Linked DNA regions of Sus scrofa. The protein of the gene in region 1 interacts with the protein of each later gene in a pairwise test. Links are inferred from orthologs where the notes say so. Each region holds a gene or a part of one and is shown on either strand. Other genes may lie near its edges.

What was found.
Region 2: the proteins of RAB11B (region 1) and RAB11FIP2 interact in binary tests that used the Homo sapiens proteins (3 or more experiments, as listed by UniProt). The link is inferred for Sus scrofa from reciprocal best matches to the Homo sapiens genes RAB11B and RAB11FIP2.

What each region holds. Positions count from the first base shown.
Region 1 is NC_010444.4:70,893,321-70,897,915, forward strand, and holds the start of RAB11B (ras-related protein Rab-11B), read right to left. Parts: upstream 2,850-4,595; 5' UTR 2,456-2,849; coding exon 2,416-2,455; intron 1-2,415. UniProt on the Homo sapiens protein: The small GTPases Rab are key regulators of intracellular membrane trafficking, from the formation of transport vesicles to their fusion with membranes.
Region 2 is NC_010456.5:128,100,705-128,104,517, forward strand, and holds part of RAB11FIP2 (rab11 family-interacting protein 2), read right to left. Parts: coding exon 3,709-3,813; intron 3,012-3,708; coding exon 2,543-3,011; intron 1-2,542. UniProt on the Homo sapiens protein: A Rab11 effector binding preferentially phosphatidylinositol 3,4,5-trisphosphate (PtdInsP3) and phosphatidic acid (PA) and acting in the regulation of the transport of vesicles from the endosomal recycling compartment (ERC) to the plasma membrane.

The DNA.
Region 1 (4,595 bases):
GCAGGCTCGGATCTGATCCCTGGCTCAGGAACTCCACATCTCGGGGTGGCCAAAAAAGAAAAAATGAATAAAGATAAGGAGGTGGGGGTTTTTCCAACAAGGCCTAACAGTGAAGATGAGGTCTGAGATGACCAGTTTGGGACCAGTCTTGTGGGTTAAGGCTTTCACTTTCAACCTGGCTTGAGAACGTCAGCAGGGCACCTGCTCAAGAAAAGGAGCCCAGTGGGAGAGGGCAACAGGGCAAGCGGGCACCGCCCCCATGCCAGTTGTCCCAGAAGTGTTTCCAGGAAGAGGACTCCGGAGATGAATCCTGGGAAGCGCACAGCCTGCTCCATTGCCCCTGACCCAGTGATTGTACTTCTGGGAACATACTTCAAGGAAATAACCCAAAGGAAAAAAAGATGACTCGTGCAAATACTTGGAGCTGTGTTATTTGTGACGCAAAAATGTTGAAAATAATAAATGGGGAATGACTGCAGAAACAATGGGAGGAACGCCCCCTGCCCTGGTAGTTAACACATCCAGGTGGGTGCCAGCCAGGACCTAGGAGCAGCTGCCTCAGGGTGGGCTGGGTGGAAACAGGCACCAGCTACAGCAGGACTGGTATCCAGTCCACCTGTCATTAGTTCCCAAAGCCCTGAAAGAGCTTCCTCTGCCTCTAAGTGTCTTTTTTTCTTCTTTTTTTTAGGGCCATATCTGTGCCATATGGAAGTACCCAGGCCAGGGGTGGAAATGGAGCTGCAGCTGCCGGCCTATGCCACAGCAATGCAGGATCCAAGCCAAGTCTGTGACCTATGCCACAGCTCAGATAACACCAGATCTTTAACTCACTGAGTGGGGCCAGGGATTGAATCCGCATCCTCATGGATATTAGTCAGGTTTTTAACCTACTGAGCCAAATGGGAACTCCCTCCTCTGCCTTTAGAGTGAGACCTCAAAGCTCAGTCAGCACCAGGGCCCGGGCCTGAGGCCTCAGCAGCAGTCTACAGGCAGCTCCCCCAGCCTAATGGTGCTGTCAAGCTCTGGGCCTTTGCATGGGGGCTTTCTCCGCCCAGAAAACTCTTACACGTGAATATCCAGGTAGGGACTGCTCCATCCCACCTTCCACATGTCTAGGGTCCCCCAGCCCCAACATGCTGGATGATATCACAGTCAGGGATGGACAGAGACTACACTCCCAGGGATGGCCAAGTTCCCCCAGCGAGGACAAGATGCCAAGAGCCAGCATGGGAGGCACACTCTCATGCAGCAGGCAGCATGGGAAGGGTGTCCTGTGTGGGCCCAGAGATTAGTTCTCAAGGGTGGCCAGCGTCAGCCAGACAGCCCAGCACAAGACCTGGCCAAAGCCTAGGTTGGCACAGAAGGCACTAGAAAGTCAGTGACTCCTGAGCCAGTCCGCTGTTGGCTGCCTGCCCTGCCCTGCCCAGGGGTTACTTGAAGCTTCTAGAGCCCTCTGTCCCCCAGGGTCAGAGAAGATCCTCCAGCAGTTTGGAGGAGGTGGTCTGACAAGCCCAGTCCCAGATCTTGGTCACGGGCTCCCTCAGATACACTCCCTATGTGGCCTGGGTTCAAATCCTGCTCCAACACTTATTAACTGCGCCTTAGTATCCAGGTCCATAAAGAGACAGGATGGAAAATACTGACCTCATTGGCTGTGGTGAGGGTTTCAATGAATTCATGTGTATAAAGTGCTTAGAAAAGTGCAGGTACTTGGATGGTGCTATTATAGTTCTAAAAGTTAAGAGATAATTGTTGCTGTTAAGCACCAGGCCTGGGTCCAGCACACTTAGTATCCCCCCCCACCTCCGACCCCCACAACCCCCAAACGCAGGTACTCCTCTCAATCCAGACTCCCGCACTCCAAACCAGGCTCCATTCAACACCTCAACCCCCATTGTCCGCCCCTCCCTTCCAGGGCTCCGCCCCCAGACGCACTGCCACCAATCAAGGCTCTCCCCTGCCACTCCGTGCGAGCACCGCCCCCACCCGTGCAGCCCAGCCTACTTCTTGGACACGCCCACCACATCCCAGCCCCGCCTCTAAAGGCCCCGCCCCCACCGCTAAGGGCGCTTTCCACCTAGCCCGGCCCGCCAAACGCTGGGACGACCCCGCCCCCTCTGAAGGCCCCGCCTCTAACGGCCTGTCCCACCGCCCCCGGCCCCACCCCCTCTGGGCCCTGGCCCCGCCTCGGTGCATCCAGGGCCCCCAAGCCTCTCTGGGCAGCCTGCCTCGCGGGGCCGCAAACCCTGGCCTAAACTTGATCATGCCCGACCCGCAGTGGCTTTCCTGGCTGCCTAGCCTGCCGGGCGCCAACCCTCTGGCTCCAGTCTGGGGCCAGAGGCCTGGAGTGCAGCCTCGGCGCCTGCCCACCGCTTCGCTGCCGCTCATAGCCCGTCTGTGCCCCACCGGCCGCACCTTTGAATAGGTAGTCGTACTCGTCGTCCCGGGTCCCCATTGTCCTGGCGCTTCCGGCGGGATCGGCGACTCCGCAGCCCCACCACAAACACCCGACGGGGGCGGAGCCGGCGCCGCGCAGAGCGGCGGCCGGATGCCCAATCAGCGGTGGATGGCGTAGCGACCGGCACCCAGAGTAGCCAATAAGAGGCTTAAGCAGAGCCCCCGGGGTGGGCACCGTCGGAGATCCACCTTTTTCGCCCTCGGTCTCCTGGAGAAAGGCGGAAGGAATGCGGACCTTTCTGAAGTGACGGCCTCTTCAGCCTATCAAAGGCTAGATCTGGAAGGCGGGTCGGAAGACCATAAGATGAAACGGATTGACGGAGCGAGTAGCCAATGAGAGGTTTGAATCAGACAGCTCCGGACCACCAGAGGACCTGTCCGGGAAGGGAAATGGGGCTACGTCCAGGTAGTGTTACGCTATTTAACGTCCCAATGACGTCATAGGTCAATGCGCGCGGCTCTTCTGGACGCTCCCCCCACCGCTTGCCCCATAAATGGCCTTTTCCGGGGGGGCGTCTGCTTGGGGACCTTTTCAGCTTAGAGGGAGATCCCCTCTCTCTGGATTGCAGTTTCTATCCCTGCATTGGTGACTCGTTAAGATACCCCTGCCTCAGCTTCCTCCCTTTGTATAACGGAAGAAACTCACCTTATGGAATATTTGGAGTATGATTAGACCATTTACTTAAATACCTACTAAAACAACCATCCACAGTCTGTCATTAAGTCTTTGTTTAACAAATATTTATAAATCCTTCGTGTCATTCCTTCTCTGTCCCCTTATGTTGTTTTATTCCACAACCCCCTCGCCCCCAAGGATTTATCCCTACTTGACGAAGTATTTCTTTCTCCGCCCTGTTAAAAAGCAAAATTCAGGTGAGTACATTTGACGATCTAATAGCCTTTATTAAAAAATTCGTGAGTCAAGTAGCATCTCATCTGTTAAGCAGAGATAGTCCGAAAGGTTGCTCAAAATGGAAGACGTTTATAGGAAGGAGGGTGAGACAAAGAAGTCATGACGAGAGAAAAAAACAAAAGTTCGTTTGGAGGAAAGTAAGCGTTCAGGTAAGGACAGCATCTCATTGGCTAAGCTGTGGTGTCTTCATTGGCTGGGCTTGTTGCTGGGAGGGAAGAAAATCTTTTCTCCTTTAATGAAGTAGTTGCAGTGTCTGTTTGGGAGTGCAAGGTAAGTCTCTTGTGATTGGGGTCTGTAACTGATGTCTTCCTGATTGGGGTCTTTGAGGAGTGGTTGGGCGTAAGAGCTCCCTCTGAAAGCCTTTCCTGACTCCAATTTTAGCTGAGGTTTCCTTTTTAAAATTTTCACAATCTAGGAGTTCCCATTGTGGTGCAGAGGAAAACCCAACCAGTATCCATGAGGATGCTGGTTCAGTCCCTGGCCTTGCTCAGTGGGTTAAGGATCTGGTGTTGTCGTGAGCTGTGGTGTAGGTCGCAGATGTGGCTTGGATCTGGCTTTGCTGTGGCTGTGGCATAGGCTGGCAGCTGTAGCTGGGATTCCCCCCTAGCCTGGGAACTTCCATGTGCTCTGGGTTCAGCCCTAGAAAGCAAAAGATAAAAATAAAATTTTCACAGTCCAGTAGTTTATTTAGTTTCTGTTCCTCACCAACAGAACATCAGCCCAGTGAAGGCAGGGGCTGTGTCTGTGGCAGTCGGTGTTGTGTCCACAGTGCTCAATAAATGATTAATGATAATGTCAGAGTGGGGCTCATGTGCTAATTGTAATAATAATTATTATTGCCACTTGGACCTCTTCCCTGGGATGTCCACCTAGCATCCCACATACAAATTTGACCTCTTTTCCCATATTCTCTTCTCCTCCAGTGACTCCATCTCTCTTCCACCATCATCAAAGCCAGAGTTCATGGACTCCTGTCCCCTTCTCAACCTTTACTCTCCTGCCCTTCTCTCCCATCCCCTCCCTCAACTACGTTATTCTGTCCCTCCTTCCTCCTGACCCCTTCTCTCCCCCTCTGTTGCCACCACCCATATACTGGCCCTGTCATCACTCCCTGGTCCCATGGAGTGTCCTGCTCCTCAAGCTACCTGTTGTGCCCTTTACCCCGACAGTTTGTTCTTCCCACAGCAGTCAGAGTCTTTTTTCCCCCATTTAATTATTTATTTTT
Region 2 (3,813 bases), on another chromosome or scaffold:
TTTAATTATGCACACTATTCGCCCAGAGGGTAATAATGTGGTTCCCCTGTACCTGCAGGTCATGGGGGAGCCAATTCACCCAGAGAACAAAATCCAGCTCCACAGCTACATATTTTACCCTTAACTGTGTTCAGGATTCTCACGAACATTGGTCACAAGCGTCCCGGAGACTCTATAAATAGATCTATTTAGCACTATTGGAAAAAGATAATTCACAGCATGTGTCCTAGAAATGTGAGTTCATAGCTTCAAAAGTGCATTTGGCTTAGATGTTAATGTGAGAAAACTAAAATACTCCATATAACTGAGAAATGATAGCGGGAGGATAAATACAAATACACTGATACGTAAAAACCAAACTACCTCGACTACATCCTTTCTAATTCCATTCGAGACATCATTTCCCCAAAATTTGATCTGAACTCTCTTCCTGGATCTATTTATATTCAATTTTTCTTTTTTTATATGCTACTACTGAGAGCTACCCCTTTATTGTAAATGTTTTACATTTACCACAAAGATGGCTTGTGACACAAAAAGGAAGGGTAACTTCTTAGGACTCGACAAATGTGTTTGTCGTCATAGCTACAGCATCTCAGGAATATGAAGAAGAGAAAAATCTTAAAGTTAAAAAAACTTTTTACATACTTGCAATCATTATATGTATAAAATGAAACAGCTCTAACACTGATGGACACAGCATTAACACTGAAGTAACCCAAAACAAAGTCTATATTTGGCAAAATGCCACACTCACTTTTAAAACACTAATTCTTAAGTCCATGTAAACAGCCCAAGTCAATTAAAAAGTTGAGGGTACCTATTTTTCCATATATTGCCCTAATATTTTTCTTTTTTTTTTTTGGCCACACTGGCACCATATATAAATTTCCCAGCCAAGGACTGAATCCCAGCTGCAGCTGCAACCTACGCCACAGCTATGGCAATGCCAGATCCTTACCTACATGCCACAGTGGGAACTCCATGCTGCCATAATTTAAAAACATTATTTTCCTACCATATCCCATTTTTCTTGTTTTTCTTGGACTCTAAAATTACGTACATTAGCCAATCTCTAAGTTATCTCAGATAGTTGCTTGCGACAATCTTTTTCAAAAACAGTTCAGTTAAGGAGGGGAGAAAGGAAACACATTTCTATTAACTTCTGTCGTTTAAGACCCACAATAATGTGAAGCACACCATATAAAATATCAAAATGAAATATTTGAGAATAGCACATCAAAACCATGGATTCGTCAATAAAATATTAATACCCTATGATAAAAAAGCATTTCTTTGGCATATAGCCTATAAAGAAAAGGGAATGATACATTCGAAAGCCACAGCAAATACCCATTTATTGATAAAAGAAAACAAAAGAAGTACAAACCTTCCCTAGAAAACTCTAAATGCATGTTTTAATGTATCATTAGAAAATCAGAAGACAGCTGGGGGATCACAAGCCTAAAAGGGCAATTGTTGGTACTCTTTTCTGTTTATAGTGGGACAAAAACAAAGCACTGTTTCTGAATAAAATATGACATGGCTACATACAGTGTAACAGCAACTACCCTTTATGGGGTCCCTATTTGGGGCCTGTCTTTGTACTATGTACTGTATCATTTATCACCCCCCAATCCTAACAAGTAAGAATCACTTTCCTTATGTCAAAGATGGAAATGCTGAGGTTGACAGACGTCACAGACCTACTGAGCCAGCTTTCCCACGGGAGTCTGAACGCCATGCGTTCCTGCCCCAGGAAAGAACGTCTATGTTACCTGGCAAACAGTCCAGCACACCCTTCCTTGACAATCGCTTAAGACTCCAATAAATTCATTTTATTCTTTGCTTGAAGTTTCCTTAATCAGTTATTCTACCATTCACTCCTGCAATTCCATCATCTTATTTAAACCATAGTTTCAATTTGTCCTAAGGAATTAGAAAAGTATCACATACATGACCGAGCCCAAACTTTATCATGATAGATTATTTCTGTGACTAAGTCATCATTACAGATACTCCAAGAGTACCCACAAGATTCACATAAGCATTCAGTAAACATTCACAAATAAAAACTACTCCAAAGAGCCATTTAATATAGTTAACACCTATTATGAAAACTATTACTACTTCAGCCAGCATGTCTTCAAGAATAGTCCGCAGGCTGCTATTGGTCCATAACTAATTTCTGGAAAATAAGGTGTAGAAACACGACGTACCTCGATTTCGTTTGAATTAACACCTACTGGTGGTTCACTCTCACCACGTCTCATCAAAAGCTATACTATTCTCTCCATAAGTTTCGGTGAGTTTCTGGCTAAGTAAGAATAAACTTCAGTACGGATTAAGAATCTTTTATCCTTCTAAGATAAAAAAAGTTCAATTCCAAAGATGTATGCAACATTGCCTGGCTCCAAAATTAATTATAAAAATAAGATAAGAATTTTTTTCAAGTAAAATGAAAGGAATTTAAAAGGAACATCCGATACTTTCAAGTACAATATGTTCCAAAATAGCAAAACTTTCCCCCTGTTAAGCTTACCTTGAAGATGGCATTATATTTGAAGCCCTGAATTTTGTTGTAAACGGATTAGTTGACTCATAATCAAAATAGTCCTGACGATTTTCACTAAATGCATTAGGTGATTTCAAGTCACAAGGGCTATCGGATCCCCCATTGTTAAGTTTATCAGACCTTCTGCTATCTTTTTTTCCAGTCACTCTTTCAAACAGGCTAACTTTCTCTCTTTTCTCTCTCTTATTTTCTTTTCTTACTTCAACCGATTTTGAAAATAAATTCACGCTGCTGTCCCAGGATTCACTGCTTTCTTCAAATGGATTTTTCTTCCTTGGCAGTGTTGCAAATTTTTGGGGTAATGAAGCAGTCACATTTGTAAATGGGTCACTTTGTCTTCCGAAAGACGATTCACCTTCTTCCACATTGCTGTCAGGTTGGTTCATTTTAGAAGTATCAAAGCTTAATGTTCTTCTGTGTGGAGATTTGAGACTTCCTGCAAACAATTTTGTAGTTAGTACATAATCAGTGACACATTACATCCCACTATTTGACACATCCTGTGTGCATACTGCCGCTTTTAGAATGAGAGCAATTAGCTATTTAAAGATATTAACCTTTAAAATAATCAAGGAAAACAATCTTAAAATGCTAAGGAACAGTGGTATGTAGGCTAATAACAATTAGTATCTGGCTAACAATTAGTAATTTACTCAGCTCAGCAAGAAACAATCACATAAACAAAGTATAATGTCAAAACTAAAGGTTCTGCTTGGCCCCGCAGTGCTATAAATTCTCAGACTTCTTTCATCATTAGCATTAAATTTACGTTCTTATTTCTGAACATTAAAGGTTTTTCCTAGGAACTTTCTAATGAAATGGGATATTCATTTATGCTTCTGGCTTTTAAGATGGAAGAAATGGCAGTTAAAAAAAGAAGAAGCCAGGCCACGAAGAGAGACCAGGACTCATTTTTATTACCTAATAATATAATACAACGCTGAAGGCAGACCCACTCCGCCTTCAATAAACTTAACAATTTTGAGTAGAGTAGGCACTCAATATTTGACGACTAAATTTAGAAAATACTAGCAAGAAACTCCCACCTTTCTTCTCTAACTTTAGAAGTCGATACTTTGAAAAGTAAAAGGGTAGCTCAGACCACGGAGGAGCGACTGGAATGTGTCACTTACCACTTTCCGGAACTGCTCCAAAGGGCTCTATCTGGCGTCCGAGAAGATGAGTTTGAGCGATGGCGCCCGACTTCAGCTTCTCCGAAGAAATGTGGGCCCCAGTTA